Arabidopsis thaliana: one gene and its partners. The protein of the gene in region 1 purifies or fractionates together with the protein of each later gene. This does not show direct contact. Each region holds a gene or a part of one and is shown in the gene's direction. Other genes may lie near its edges.

Region 1 (5,739 bases):
TATTGATTTTTCCCAACAGTTTTCGAATATTACATAGATTTTCTCAGATTTCCGGGCTTATTGGTCCATCAAAGCCATTTATATGTGAGGCCCATATTTATTATAATGGACCTTAACCAAATCCAGTTTATCCATTAAGCTTGTCATTTTATATTGGACTTGTAAAACTTTAAACATTTCATTGGGTTGGGCCGATCTCGAAAGCCCATCAAGAATAATACGACTTTAAAGTAGCGAACTAGGTAGTAGGTTCACTGTGAGTTAGCCGTTGAGGATGTCAGAACGGTAACTATGACGTCAAAAGCTGAGAATTCGAAAACTATCCGTTAGTGATTTTACCCAACGGTAAAGAAAACTTGTCTATATATAGTAATACACACAACACAGTCCTCGTTACTCCTAAATTATCTAATCCAAACCAAGACATGTAGATAGAAACCTATTCTCTTTTTGTCTCTTGTTGTCTGATTCTCTCTTCATCTTCGGCGGCAAAACTCAGCCAATCATCGGTGAGTTACTTTGTACTTTACTTTACGGTGAAAAGCGAAAACTGTGTCTATGTAAAACCTTTGTACATTACCTTTCTGTCTCTATGTACTTTAATTTCCAGTTTCTTTCTTGTTGTATTGTTTGGGTGTTTTTAGTCGGAATTACTCTTCTTGGCTCTTAGTACTTTGTTTTGACCCATGTTGGATTTTGATTTCTATGTTATTCGTATTGTTGATACTTCGTTTAAAACTTATATGTTGACAAATGAATACGGTGCAATGCCTTAATTTAAACCATGAATCTTTTATTTTCGTTATTATTTATTTGATAATAGTCCTAATAATGTTTTTAATCAAGATATAATATTTTTTGCGAGGGATCATTAATTCTGATGAGGAGGACAAAGCTTCAACAAGCGAACAACAATATCCACTACTTAGAGAGCTAAAGCATAAACATGAATTGCAATTTCCGCCAGGTTAGTTTTCAATCCTTTCCAAAAATCAACTACTATCAATAATAATTGAAGCACTTTTTAGTCGAAATACTCATCACTCGAAACACTTTCTAGTGTAAACTTTTTAATTCTACTTTAATAACACACTCATAAACACTATATCATTTAGTAGTAAAACACTCAGTAACTAAAAAATATTTTCTTAAAAAAAGATATGATGCGGAACTTTTAATTAAAACTCACAACTAAAAAATTAAAATAGTTGAAACATACTTAGTAAACACCAAATTATTTTCAACAAAAAATAGTCAAAGTCGTAGCACTGAACCATTCAACCAAAAAAAAACACATTTAACAAGATACACACACGACTAATAAATGTGTATTTTCTTACGTCTTTAAAATTACATTAACACTTAATTAATTCAACAAAATCCCTTTAGCCAAAATTTAGTCGAAGCACTTACTCAAAAAACTTATATCTAAATCCGAACACACGTAAAACACTAGATCAATTTACTTAAAAGTCGAAACATATATTTCCAAGCATACTTCTAAACAAAGCATACTTAGTGAAGTACATTAGTTATACTGTTGAACACAATATTAAATCACGAACACGTACTCCTAAACTAGTCAGGCAAATTACTCCTAACATTTTAGTCAAAACATAGTTATTCGTAACACTTGAAAACACTTCCGCAATTCCGCATTTAAAGGCAAGTGCAAAAATCACACTTTATTTAAAAAAAGCTTATATAAAAACCGTTTTAGGCGAAGTATGAATATTACTTGAACAATTATTGTTTTTACTTCACATTTCGTCGAAGCGTCTGTTAGTCGAAGCCAAGCACAAGTTGAACCACTGTTAGTCGTATCGCTGTTAGTCGTTAGTCAAAACACTTTTTTATGTCATACATTTTGTACGTTGTTATTAAATGTTAACTTGATCGGGAAAAGACCACTCTGTTGCAGGTCGCACACCTTTAACAGTGATCTAATATATCAAAGACAAAAAAAAGGTGGATTGAGATTAATCATAAAAGGAAACAAATACTTTAACAACTTCTCAAAAAAATTGGTGATCAAACTCAGAAAACTAAAAATTGGAACATAGCAACTGAAGAAAATGAAAATGAGGATCTGTTTCGCATCCATATTTCGCAAACTCATTAAAACGTTAATTAATTTTAAAATAACCAAGTGTAGATAACGCAGCTTATCGGATCCGTTGGTATAACGTTGTATGGTCCTCAGTTTGGAAGGAGTGGCGATTTTCCGAAAATGGATTGATATAAGGCAAACAGATTGGTTCAGAGTAATTTCAAAAAAATCAATGAAACGGTATATGAAATAATGTACTTAAAATATTATATCAAATAGGCTATCTCTATGCTCACATCACATGCGTCGAATAAACAATTAAAACAAAAATCCAACGGGACGACCAATAGCATAATTCCGGTGGCTCGTAATTAAAAATTGGTCCACATTATATCAAAGTGCTCACGTACCCTTTCAAAATTCCAATTCCAACTAATGTTGCTGTGGTGCTACAGAAATAAATAAAAAACTATAGTTGAAAACTGACAAAACAAGTATAATTAATATTGACTCGCTTTATACAAGAAACATGTTACTTTGTACAAAACAAGTATAATTAATATTGACTAAAATGAAAATTATCACTTTATACCTGTTAAGAATCGATAGATTATCATACAAGTTGTTTCAAATTATTATACAAGTTTGTTTCACTTCACTTTACACCGAATAGCATTGATAAATTAATATACACCTGCTAAAGTGACGAGGTTTCAAAAGCATATCATTGCATCCTATAAAAAGAAGCTCACTCAGTATACTAAAACACACCAACATTCATCAAAAAAACACATAACAAAAAATGGAATTCTCAACCACATTAGCTCTGTTCTTCACTCTCTCCATATTCTTGGTCGGAGCACAAGCCAAAGTTCCCGTCGACGACCAATTTCGAGTGGTCAACGAAGGAGGCTACACCGATTACAGTCCCATCGAATACAACCCCGACGTACGTGGCTTCGTCCCCTTCAGCGACAACTTCCGTCTCTGTTTCTACAACACAACCCAAAACGCATACACTCTCGCTCTTAGAATCGGAAACAGAGCCCAAGAATCCACTCTAAGATGGGTCTGGGAAGCAAACAGAGGCTCACCAGTCAAAGAAAACGCCACGTTGACTTTCGGCGAAGATGGAAACCTTGTACTTGCTGAAGCCGATGGCCGCGTGGTCTGGCAAACGAACACGGCTAACAAAGGCGTCGTGGGGATCAAAATTTTGGAGAATGGCAATATGGTAATATATGATTCAAATGGAAAATTCGTATGGCAAAGCTTTGACTCTCCGACCGACACGCTTCTCGTTGGACAGTCTTTGAAACTCAACGGTCAAAACAAGCTCGTAAGCAGACTTTCTCCATCGGTCAACGCAAACGGACCGTACAGTCTCGTGATGGAAGCCAAGAAGCTAGTCTTGTACTACACGACAAACAAAACTCCAAAACCAATCGGTTACTACGAATACGAATTCTTCACCAAGATAGCTCAGTTACAGTCTATGACGTTCCAAGCTGTGGAGGATGCCGACACCACGTGGGGTCTACACATGGAAGGTGTCGACTCTGGTTCTCAATTCAACGTCTCGACGTTCCTCTCGCGGCCTAAACACAATGCGACGTTGAGTTTTCTTCGGTTAGAGTCAGACGGAAACATCAGAGTTTGGAGTTACAGTACGTTGGCGACTTCCACGGCTTGGGACGTAACGTACACGGCGTTTACTAACGACAACACTGACGGTAACGATGAGTGTAGGATCCCTGAGCATTGTTTGGGGTTTGGTTTGTGTAAGAAAGGTCAGTGTAACGCTTGTCCTAGCGACATAGGGCTTCTTGGTTGGGATGAGACTTGCAAGATTCCGAGTCTCGCTAGTTGCGATCCCAAGACATTTCACTATTTCAAGATCGAAGGAGCTGATAGTTTTATGACGAAGTATAACGGTGGATCAACGACAACGGAGAGTGCGTGTGGGGACAAATGTACGAGAGATTGTAAGTGTTTAGGGTTTTTCTACAATAGGAAGAGTTCGAGGTGTTGGTTGGGTTATGAGCTCAAGACATTGACTAAAACCGGAGATACTTCCCTAGTTGCTTATGTCAAGGCTCCGAATGCTAGCAAGAAGTCAGCTCTTGCCATTTGAAGCGTAAACAAAGGTTTTTGTGTGTCGTTTTGACGAATAATAAGGCTACGTTGTCCTTTGTTTTCTCTTTTCTGAAAAAGTGTTGCTATTGGTTTATCTTGTTTTATGATTGCATGTTGATTCTCAAGCTACACCGTAATAAATTGAAGTGAAACGCATCAGCTAAATTCAATTATTCTCATTATTTTACCAAAAAAAATAAAATTATTCATTAATTTAGTATCATCACAAAATATGATATACTTAAGGATTGAATTGAGAAATTGAATCATGAATGAGTTTAAGCTTTCATGTTTTCTGTTTTTCTTTTTTTTTTAGCTTGAGACCATATTTTGAAGGTAATGTTTCAAGAAAAACCTTAACTTTCCGTTGTGAAAAAATGTTTTATATTTTTATTAGACACTGATGCAATGCAGTAGAACGTGCACACAACACTTTGCTTCTCATGACAAGCCATTGAAAGATTCAAACTTTTAATTTGGATTATTAAAGAAGCGGTATAAATATGATACGAATAAGATGCGTGCTACGGCGCTTCGACGCCGCGTCACCTTAACAGAGATGGTCATCTGTCTCGTTTTTTTTTGACCAGTCAACGCTCTTATATATTTATTATACATGTACATAATGTCTTAAATCATGCAGACTAATAACTTTACATCGTTTTCGTTGTTAGCTTTGATTTTTAAAAGTCAACTTGAAAGATGCCAGGTGTTATTTATAGTTTATACATATCAAGCAAATGCTTTCTACTGCATATATTATCGATTTTTTTTACCCAAACATAATAATTAATTATTGAACAAAAGGTACACAGTACTTAACACTAATCTTCATTTTTCTTCATTTTGTGAGCTGATTTGGTCTAATTAAATCGATGGCATAAAAGCCAAAACCAGAGAAACATTGTTTATGAATAGAAATTTTTAGAGGTAAAAATTTAGCATTTGGAACCAAAGAGTCGGTTCTAATATAATGTATAAAGAACGAAAAATAAACGATAGAAATATTAACTGAACATTTAGTATGACGGTTTGGGACTTTGGGGTGACAAATTGTTGTACTATATTGAGCTGCCCATAAGCATTTGTATTTGTGAAACATTGCATATTAATTGGAGCTGAAGTATATACATATGCATAGCTATGAGTTAATTTTTCTACCTCGTCTCGAGACAATGCATTTTGAGGTGATTTGGTTCCCAAATGATGCCGCTCTAAAAAGGCTAATTAAGAAGTCAAACTTATTGTTGTTTTGTTGATGCCTCACGGGAATCACCAGATATGAAAGCTAAAATCTGATGATAAATGCATAACAAACAAGGCCATCAAATTATTAAAGGTAGTTCTTCAATAGAACCCACTTCAAGCAAAACCAGTAGCTTTACTAATGGAAGTTCAACAAGCCAGAAACTTGGGTTATTATGAGGTAACGTTTGTTGGAGATGGCAAAGCTTAATTTGTATGATTGTCACCAGTCAAGAAAAACACAGGGCTAACTGCAAAACTTCTATCAAAACTCTTGCCAAAGACATCGTATCTCTTTCTAGACAGCA
Region 2 (4,194 bases), about 17 Mb from region 1:
TCTCCCAAACGTCTCGATGATGCGTAAACAAATTTTGTTGCTCCTTTCTCGTACTCAATGCTATTCCTTGGCAGCCATACCCAACTCTTATCCATTTTTGAAACACCAACAAGCTCCAACCCCATATATATGATAATATTTATATATATATATATATATATATATATATATATATATTAGTTAACAGAGATACAAGAACAAAGACACAAAGAGAAATTTCAAAAACAAAAATTCAATACTATCAAAGCTATATTGAATACAAGAACCACATAAACTCAAAGCTACACGTATACTAAGAACCACAGAAATTAACTCAATTCGATACAAGTGAATCACATAAATAGTCAAGTTCCATTGGATACAAGTGAAAAGTCACAGAAATAGTCAACTTCTAATCGATACAAGTCAATAGTCACTGAAAATAGTCAAGTTCTAATCAATACAAGTGAATACAAGCTATCAAAGCTATTTGAAACTCAATTCGATACAAATGAATGCTCACTATCAAAGCTATATGAAACTCAATTCGACACATGAGAATAGTCAAGTTCAAAGCTATATGAAACTCAAAATCGATCTAAGAACCACAGAAATCGATCTAAATAACATACTTGTCAAAGAGAAGCCACTGAAATCTTTGAGAAACGCGGATAGCGAAAGCCCCAAATCGAAACCCCTAAATCTGAGAAACCTGAAAATCAAACCCTAAATGTGATTAAAACCCCAAATCGAAACTCAAACCAGACAATTTCACAATGCAAACCCTAAATCGATTACAAAAGAAACATAACCTTCTCGATTTAGAACCAGATCTGTGACTGAGAAGCTGAAGAGTACCAAAAGAGATTGAGGCGTTGAGCAAGAACACGAACAGAGACGGGAGAGAGACAGACAGCTGAAGAACACGAACACAAACAGAGAGAATTGAAAAAGAGAATTGAAAGAGATGAAGAACAGTGAGATGAAAAACAGTGAGAACACGAACAATGTTTTTTGGCCTTAGAAAAAAATTTCGGGGTTAAAAGTCACCAAATATTTTATTCTCCAACGAGCAAAAAAATTTCATTCCGCGCTACTATATTAGGTAGCGGTTTTTGTAAATTAGTGCTATCGAATAATAACCCCTAATCTAAAAATATTGACCCGAGTCATTTTATTTCCCGGGGTAAGATAGTATAACGTTTTGAAAACCAAACGTTATAACGTTTTAGCTGGTTAGTAAATTATAGCAGAACACGATTAACTGCTACAATATAATATTATAAATGCTCAATATTCTTCTAGTAATTTTAATATTAATAAGGAGGTCTTGTATAAACTGATTGTTTCCTGGAAGTGTTATTGCATCGCCAAAAACAGTTGGCGGAAGTCCAGCCCAGTCATGTATTGGAACATCAATTACTCTGTTCTTGCTGTTAGAATCGTTTGGCTCTTGAGTCTATGACAGTTTCTTTTGTCGGAAATGTTGTGAAAAATAAAAATACTATGACTTACTGGAGTTTCAAAATATAACCAAAAAAAACGAAAATATATTATAAGAAGTCTGAAAAAAGTAGAATTTTGTTTTTAGCAAAACATTAAGACGTGTTAATTGTCAAGAGAAGACCTATGCATATATAATAGTCAAGAAAAGACAAACTATAATAAAAATCTAATGAAACTGTCTTTTTCAAGTGTGTCGGGGAAAAATGATAAATTCGACCACGATTACGGATACCACTAATAATTATGGTCACATGCAGATGCAAATGGATTGGTCAAAAACGTCAACTTTGACTTCGCAGCTCTCAAGTAATCTTTTCCCCACTACTAATAGCTCTCTTCTCTCAATCAACACAACACAATTCACCACCATGAACTCTTCCTTTACTCTCTTCATCTTTACCTTCGTCATCTTCCTCCAATGTCTAAATCCCACCGGAGCTGCCACGTGTCATCCTGATGATGAAGCGGGTCTTCTAGCTTTCAAAGCGGGTATAACCCGAGATCCTTCGGGTATTCTCAGTTCTTGGAAGAAAGGTACCGCTTGTTGTTCTTGGAACGGTGTCACTTGTCTCACCACTGACCGTGTCTCTGCACTCTCTGTCGCTGGACAAGCCGATGTTGCTGGAAGCTTCCTCTCCGGCACTCTCTCGCCGTCGTTGGCTAAACTCAAGCACCTTGATGGGATTTACTTCACCGATCTCAAGAACATCACTGGTTCTTTTCCTCAATTCCTTTTCCAATTACCAAATCTTAAGTACGTATACATTGAGAATAACCGTCTCTCTGGTACTCTTCCGGCTAACATCGGTGCGCTAAGCCAGCTTGAAGCGTTCAGCCTCGAGGGAAACCGGTTCACCGGTCCGATCCCGAGCTCGATATCTAATTTGACTCTGTTAACTCAACTCAAACTCGGCAATAATCTCCTAACCGGAACTATACCGTTAGGGGTCGCTAATCTCAAGCTCATGTCGTATCTCAACCTTGGAGGTAACCGTCTCACTGGAACCATTCCAGATATTTTCAAATCCATGCCAGAGCTCCGATCTTTAACTCTCTCCCGCAACGGATTCTCCGGGAATCTTCCTCCGTCCATTGCATCACTCGCACCGATTCTTAGGTTCCTCGAGTTAGGCCATAACAAACTCTCCGGGACGATTCCAAACTTTTTATCAAACTTCAAGGCGCTCGACACATTGGATCTCTCCAAGAATCGGTTCTCGGGTGTCATACCGAAGAGTTTCGCCAATCTGACCAAGATATTCAATCTTGATCTCTCCCATAATCTTCTAACCGATCCATTCCCTGTCTTGAACGTTAAAGGCATTGAATCTTTGGATCTTTCTTACAACCAGTTTCACTTGAATACGATCCCGAAATGGGTGACTTCGTCGCCGATCATCTTCTCGTTGAAGCTAGCAAAATGCGGGATCAAGATGAGCTTAGACGATTGGAAGCCAGCGCAAACATTCTACTATGATTTCATCGATCTGTCGGAAAACGAGATCACAGGGAGTCCAGCAAGGTTCTTGAACCAAACAGAGTATCTAGTGGAGTTCAAGGCAGCGGGTAACAAACTACGATTCGATATGGGGAAGCTAACGTTTGCAAAGACGCTGACAACTTTAGATATATCAAGGAACTTGGTATTTGGGAAGGTGCCGGCAATGGTGGCTGGACTAAAGACATTGAACGTGAGTCACAACCATCTTTGTGGAAAGCTTCCAGTAACAAAGTTCCCGGCCAGTGCGTTTGTGGGTAATGACTGTCTTTGCGGCTCTCCTCTTTCTCCTTGTAAAGCTTAAGCGGCAAGAAAGCTACAACTGGTAGTTGGATATTTACCGTGACCAATAAAGTTTAGCTCCAAATAAAATTTGTATTAAAAAGATTACAACAAATAAAGTAGTTTTATGTTATGAAGAAGCTTCATTCTAACAATATGTATTAGTGAAAGTACTCAAAGTAGTATTTAAGTTCTCAACTATTATGCATTTTTTATATAGCAGCTAAAATATTACTTTAACATGATAGAAAAATGATTTTAAAAAATAGAAGGAAAAACAGAGTAGTATTCTGATACAACATGCTCCAATTTATGTAACTTTTGCTTATATATTAAACTGATTATGTAGTATGCAACTCTTGGCTAATCTGTTCTCAATTCAGAATAGTCGCAACAAATGATGCAGTAAATAATCTATGTTTACTGGAATTTAACTCGCTCTATACAAAAAAAGAAAGAAAGTTATAGTGATATCTTATTTAGAACTATGCGTAATTTATTATTCTTCAGTGTTCTATAATTGGTTAACAAAAACCTAGTGATGAAAACAAGAGGAGTCCTTACTAGATAGATGCATATAACTTCATCACTACAAAATTTATTTGATCACAAATAACACATACCAAACAACAAACCAAGTAATCGATATATACTAGTATCAAACCTCTTTTTTCTCTTTACATACACATAACACAAGGTCATCCACAGGACATATAGCGTCTGCATTGAGGAATTAGACCATCTCTGAAGTAGGTTTCAACTTAGTATTGTTTTTTTTTTTGTCTAAAACACTAAAGTTCGATTAGACTAATGCATCCATATTCAATGAGACAAAGACATAGTAAACCAACCTAGAAAAATTATTCAAAAACTATACAAAAAAAGATAGTTTGAGTAATTGGTTCTTCCAAAACAAGACTAATGCATGC
Region 3 (5,953 bases), about 17 Mb from region 1:
TGCCGGCAATGGTGGCTGGACTAAAGACATTGAACGTGAGTCACAACCATCTTTGTGGAAAGCTTCCAGTAACAAAGTTCCCGGCCAGTGCGTTTGTGGGTAATGACTGTCTTTGCGGCTCTCCTCTTTCTCCTTGTAAAGCTTAAGCGGCAAGAAAGCTACAACTGGTAGTTGGATATTTACCGTGACCAATAAAGTTTAGCTCCAAATAAAATTTGTATTAAAAAGATTACAACAAATAAAGTAGTTTTATGTTATGAAGAAGCTTCATTCTAACAATATGTATTAGTGAAAGTACTCAAAGTAGTATTTAAGTTCTCAACTATTATGCATTTTTTATATAGCAGCTAAAATATTACTTTAACATGATAGAAAAATGATTTTAAAAAATAGAAGGAAAAACAGAGTAGTATTCTGATACAACATGCTCCAATTTATGTAACTTTTGCTTATATATTAAACTGATTATGTAGTATGCAACTCTTGGCTAATCTGTTCTCAATTCAGAATAGTCGCAACAAATGATGCAGTAAATAATCTATGTTTACTGGAATTTAACTCGCTCTATACAAAAAAAGAAAGAAAGTTATAGTGATATCTTATTTAGAACTATGCGTAATTTATTATTCTTCAGTGTTCTATAATTGGTTAACAAAAACCTAGTGATGAAAACAAGAGGAGTCCTTACTAGATAGATGCATATAACTTCATCACTACAAAATTTATTTGATCACAAATAACACATACCAAACAACAAACCAAGTAATCGATATATACTAGTATCAAACCTCTTTTTTCTCTTTACATACACATAACACAAGGTCATCCACAGGACATATAGCGTCTGCATTGAGGAATTAGACCATCTCTGAAGTAGGTTTCAACTTAGTATTGTTTTTTTTTTTGTCTAAAACACTAAAGTTCGATTAGACTAATGCATCCATATTCAATGAGACAAAGACATAGTAAACCAACCTAGAAAAATTATTCAAAAACTATACAAAAAAAGATAGTTTGAGTAATTGGTTCTTCCAAAACAAGACTAATGCATGCAGCATCTTAAAACTTCACCACCATAAACGAAAATTGAGTAATTGGTTCTTCCAAAACAAGCTAAGATTCCACTATAATTTCTTACGATAAACAAATAGATAAAGCTACTTATGTTAATGTTGGATTACGCTAAGAAAATTAAGGCATGAATCTATCGGCCCATCTCGAGGCCAACTTAGTCCACAATCTGGATCATTGTACTTAGATATATTTGACTTTTATTTTGTGGTCAATAATGTACATATTGTTAGACAAAAATAACATGTTAATAAATATTTTTTTTTTTTCAAAAATAACGTACATTTTGAGAAAACATAAATGAAATTTCTTTCCAAACTAAGTTTCATAATAGCCCAAAATATTATTTAAACATGATAGAAAACAATTGTAATTTGACAACAAAGTTCTAGAAAAATAAGATACATAAATCCTTTATCTATAATCATCAAAATATTATAAAAATCTGATGAAAGAAACTGTCTCTTTCGAGGGGTTGAGAGATAATAAATTCGACAACGATTACGGATATTACCACAACTTATTGCCACCACATGAACATGAATTGGTCAAAATCGGCAGCTCTTGATTCAACGTTTTCCTTCTATTAATAGCGACCAATTGTGTCTTTCAATCAACACAACTCAACCATGAACTCTTGTTGCTTCCCTCTCTTCATCTTTGCATTCGTTATCTTTCTCCGGTGTTTAAGTCCCATTGAAGCTGCCACGTGTCATCCTGATGACGAGGCGGGTCTTTTAGCTTTTAAATCGGGTATAACTCAAGATCCTACGGGTATTCTCAGCTCTTGGAAGAAAGGTACTGACTGCTGTTCATGGAAGGGTGTCGGTTGTCTCACCAACCGCGTCACCGGACTCACTATCAACGGACAATCTGATGTTACTGGAAGCTTTCTTTCTGGCACTATCTCGCCGTCATTGGCCAAACTCCAACACCTTGTTGGTATTTACTTCACCAATCTTCGAAACATCACTGGTTCTTTTCCTCAATTCCTTTTCCAATTACCAAATGTAAAACAAGTCTACTTCACGAATAGCCGTCTCTCCGGTCCTCTTCCAGCTAACATTGGTGCGCTAAGCGAGTTAGGAGAACTAAGTCTCGACGGAAACCTGTTTACTGGTCCGATCCCGAGTTCCATTTCCAATTTAACCCGGTTATATCTGCTCAATCTTGGAGATAATCTCTTAACCGGAACTATACCTTTAGGTCTTGCTAATCTCAAGATCTTGTTGTCACTCAACTTTGGCAACAATCGTCTCTCTGAAACCATACCGGATATTTTCAAATCCATGCAGAAGCTCCAATCTCTAACCCTCTCCCGCAACAAATTCTCTGGAAATCTTCCTCCGTCCATTGCATCACTCAAACCAATTCTCAATTACCTCGATCTAAGCCAGAATAATCTCTCTGGGACAATCCCGACCTTTTTATCAAACTTCAAGGTACTAGACTCATTGGATCTTTCTAGAAATAGGTTCTCTGGGGTTGTTCCGAAGAGTTTAGCCAATATGCCTAAACTTTTCCATCTCAATCTCTCCCACAATTTTCTAACTGGTCCACTCCCTGCCATGAAGAACGTTGATGGCCTTGCCACTCTAGATCTTTCATACAACCAATTTCACCTCAAAACGATACCGAAATGGGTGACCTCGTCGCCGTCCATGTACTCGTTGAAGCTGGTAAAATGCGGGATCAATATGAGCTTAGACAATTGGAAGCCAGTGAGACCCAATATTTACTTTTACATCGATCTGTCAGAAAACGAGATCTCAGGGAGTCTAACATGGTTCTTCAACCTAGCGCATAACCTATATGAGTTTCAAGCGTCAGGGAACAAACTTCGATTCGACATGGGGAAGCTGAATTTAAGTGAGAGACTAGAAAGCCTCGATCTATCAAGGAATTTGATATTTGGGAAGGTACCAATGACCGTGGCTAAACTGCAAAAATTGAACTTGAGTCATAACCATCTTTGTGGAAAGCTTCCAGTGACTAAATTCCCGGCCAGCGCGTTTGTCGGTAATGACTGTCTCTGCGGCTCTCCGCTTTCTCCTTGTAAAATTTAGCGGCAAAAAGGTACAATTTTGTAGTTGAGTACTGTAACACATAGCTCTGAATAAGATTTGTAATAACAAAATTAGCCTACTCGGCTACGCCATACATGGACATGATTTTTATTTTTTTTACTGGAATAGAAAATAACAAAATATTTAAGGGGAAAATCACATTTTAAACCTAACACTGAGCAGCACTTTAAACCTCAAGATATTTTCACTAGCATTATAAACCTCCAAATTAATTAAACTAACACTCTAGATCTCCAAATTAACATTTTTTGTTTGTACAGCCCTAAAAGATAACAGAACAGAACACTAACTAACAGAACATTAACAGAAGTTACAGAATAATGAACTTTTGTCAGTTAAAAGAAAAAGTAAAACATGTTTAGAAAAAATAATATTATGACCACTTACCATAATTTGTGATTTTTTTGTTTAAAAAAAACCTTATAATATTTAAGAAATTTGATAATACAGTACATAGCCATGTAAATATAAATCATGTTGATGTTTTAACAAATTATTGATCGGTTATTCTCAATTTCCAACATTAATTTGATTACTTTGTGGGCAGTCTAATCATTGGTGAGCTAAATATCTAAAATCTAGACAGACAAAATAATATCACATATAAACCAATAGTTTGATACATTCACTCTCGGTACCTACCCTACATCCAAGAAGTAATGAAGATCTTGGGAATAAATGTTCCATTAGAATCATGAAACTGGTGACTTTGTAGACAAGAAAACTAGAGTTATTTGTGTAATAATATGAAATATTAAAACTGTAGACACACTGAGATTTGCCTTATTATTCAAAGCTATAAAAACAAATGGATCTCGATGAACGCTACGGCATTCATAAGAGAGGTAGCATGCATCTTAAATGTCACTACCATAAACTGAAAACTGAACAAATCGATTTTCGAGAACAATCTAAATTTTCACTTTCTTAGTTCTTACAATAGGCAAATAGATAAAGCTACTAATGTTAGATTATGCTAAGAAAATAAAGCATAATGTTTACCTGACCATCTTGAGGCCAACTTATTTTCACTGTCTAGATCATTGCACTTAGATCGTTCTAAATCTAAACAGTCAAATCTTTCACTTCTAATTTAAGGTCAATAACGAACATTTTGTTGGACAGATTAAAATAACGTGTTGAAAAAAGTAAGACGAAAATAACGTACATAACTAGATTATAACCCGCGGTACACCGCGGAGACAATTTGTTTTTAAAATTAGTATATATAAGAGTCTGCAAATTATATTTATCTATAAAATATTTACATTTTATAGTTTACAATTGTTATTAAGTAATATCCTTCCAAACTCGTTCCACCAAACCCGTCCCGTTAAAAAAATCTGCGATACACCGCTAATTTAAATAAATATTTTACGGGATTGCAATTATATTTTAGTTTGTCAAACAAATTTTTTTTTTAAATGGTTGTCGAAATCTAGTTCAAATATTGGAGAAATAAGATTTAGTGAACTGATAGGAAATGTATTTAGGTGCGTTTTGCTCATTTTAAGGGATTGCAATTGTATTTTGGTTTGTCAAATATTTTTTGTTTTAAATAGTTTCCGAAATCTAGTTTAAATTTTGGAGAAATTTGCGTGATATATGGGATTATAATATATTTGGAATATTTTTTGTTTGTTAATCAATTTATTGCCAAAAGAAAACCAATAATTAAAAGGCAATGGCAGGTATTGTAAATAAGTTCGAACTCCAGGATTTATTTCACAAAATGGCTGCAAAAATGTATATATAGATGTTAGAGAAAAATCAAAATGGTTATTTTTCCTAACTAAATTCCATAATAAAAATAAAATTTTATTTAAATTTGATAGAAAGAAATACTAATAAGACAGTGGAAAAAAACTATATGACTTATGAGTTTTAATACAATGTAACAACAAAATTCTAGAAAAAGAAGATATGTTAAACCATTTATATAATAATCTGATGAAAGACACTGTCTCTTTCAAGGGATCCAGAGATGCTAAACTCAACAACGATCACGGATTATACCACCACGTAATGCCACCACATGCATATGACTTGGTCAAAATCGTCAGCGCTAGAGTCGATGACTTTCCTTCTATTAATAGCTACCACGAATGCTTCTCTCAATCAACAAAAACACACCATTAACTTAAGACATCAAGAAGCTCCACTACATGTAACAACGATAATCAATACGTATTATTGTATTAGTGAAAGTAGTATTTCAACCCTCCGACATTGTTTTCCATATACGCGAAATGTTACTACTAAAGTGAACGGCGAGGACTTCGGAAAAGATACTCGTATTTCCGTTTATGTATTTAACTTTTACAAAATTAACAGAAATTATCCAAATTTTCTACTTTTTTTTAAATACCCAAACTTTACAAAATACACATAACAGTTAGTCAAATTAATGAGTATAAGAATTAAATTTACTTACCTGGATTTTCTGATCCCGCGTGACCAGAATTTCTTGAACCGGTCCCTCGATCCAAAAATCCCGTCTGATTTTATCGGATATAATTAGTCAAGTCAGTCCATCGTCTGGATTAAGTCTGGACATAATAAGTGAACCGAAAGAATTGAACTGGAACCGAAGAAAAAAGAACCAAACTGAACTCAGACCAATTGTAAAATATTCAAATAGGTCCAAAATTCTAGAACCGAAAAAGATTATAATCAAACCCGAACCAAACCAAAATATTTTGGATACTCAAAAATATCCAATTATATATCCAAAATATTAGTTATTTTTAGATCGAATAACCAAACATATACAAAATACCAAAATATACTTGGAA

The links. The genes of interacting proteins can lie anywhere in the genome.
Region 2: the proteins of AT1G78860 (region 1) and AT1G33590 fractionate together in Arabidopsis thaliana (co-fractionation; one large-scale study listed by BioGRID). This does not show direct contact.
Region 3: the proteins of AT1G78860 (region 1) and AT1G33600 fractionate together in Arabidopsis thaliana (co-fractionation; one large-scale study listed by BioGRID). This does not show direct contact.

Annotation. Positions count from the first base shown.
Region 1 is NC_003070.9:29,644,613-29,650,351, reverse strand, and holds AT1G78860 (D-mannose binding lectin protein with Apple-like carbohydrate-binding domain-containing protein), read left to right. Parts: upstream 1-2,660; 5' UTR 2,661-2,852; coding exon 2,853-4,184; 3' UTR 4,185-4,349; downstream 4,350-5,739.
Region 2 is NC_003070.9:12,175,935-12,180,128, forward strand, and holds AT1G33590 (Leucine-rich repeat (LRR) family protein), read left to right. Parts: upstream 1-1,738; 5' UTR 1,739-1,742; coding exon 1,743-3,287; 3' UTR 3,288-3,694; downstream 3,695-4,194.
Region 3 is NC_003070.9:12,179,076-12,185,028, forward strand, and holds AT1G33600 (Leucine-rich repeat (LRR) family protein), read left to right. Parts: upstream 1-1,700; coding exon 1,701-3,137; 3' UTR 3,138-3,147; exon of another isoform or gene 3,148-3,525; intron 3,526-5,124; exon of another isoform or gene 5,125-5,132; 3' UTR 5,133-5,453; downstream 5,454-5,953. Other genes in the region: AT1G33590 (Leucine-rich repeat (LRR) family protein), read left to right, coding at 1-146.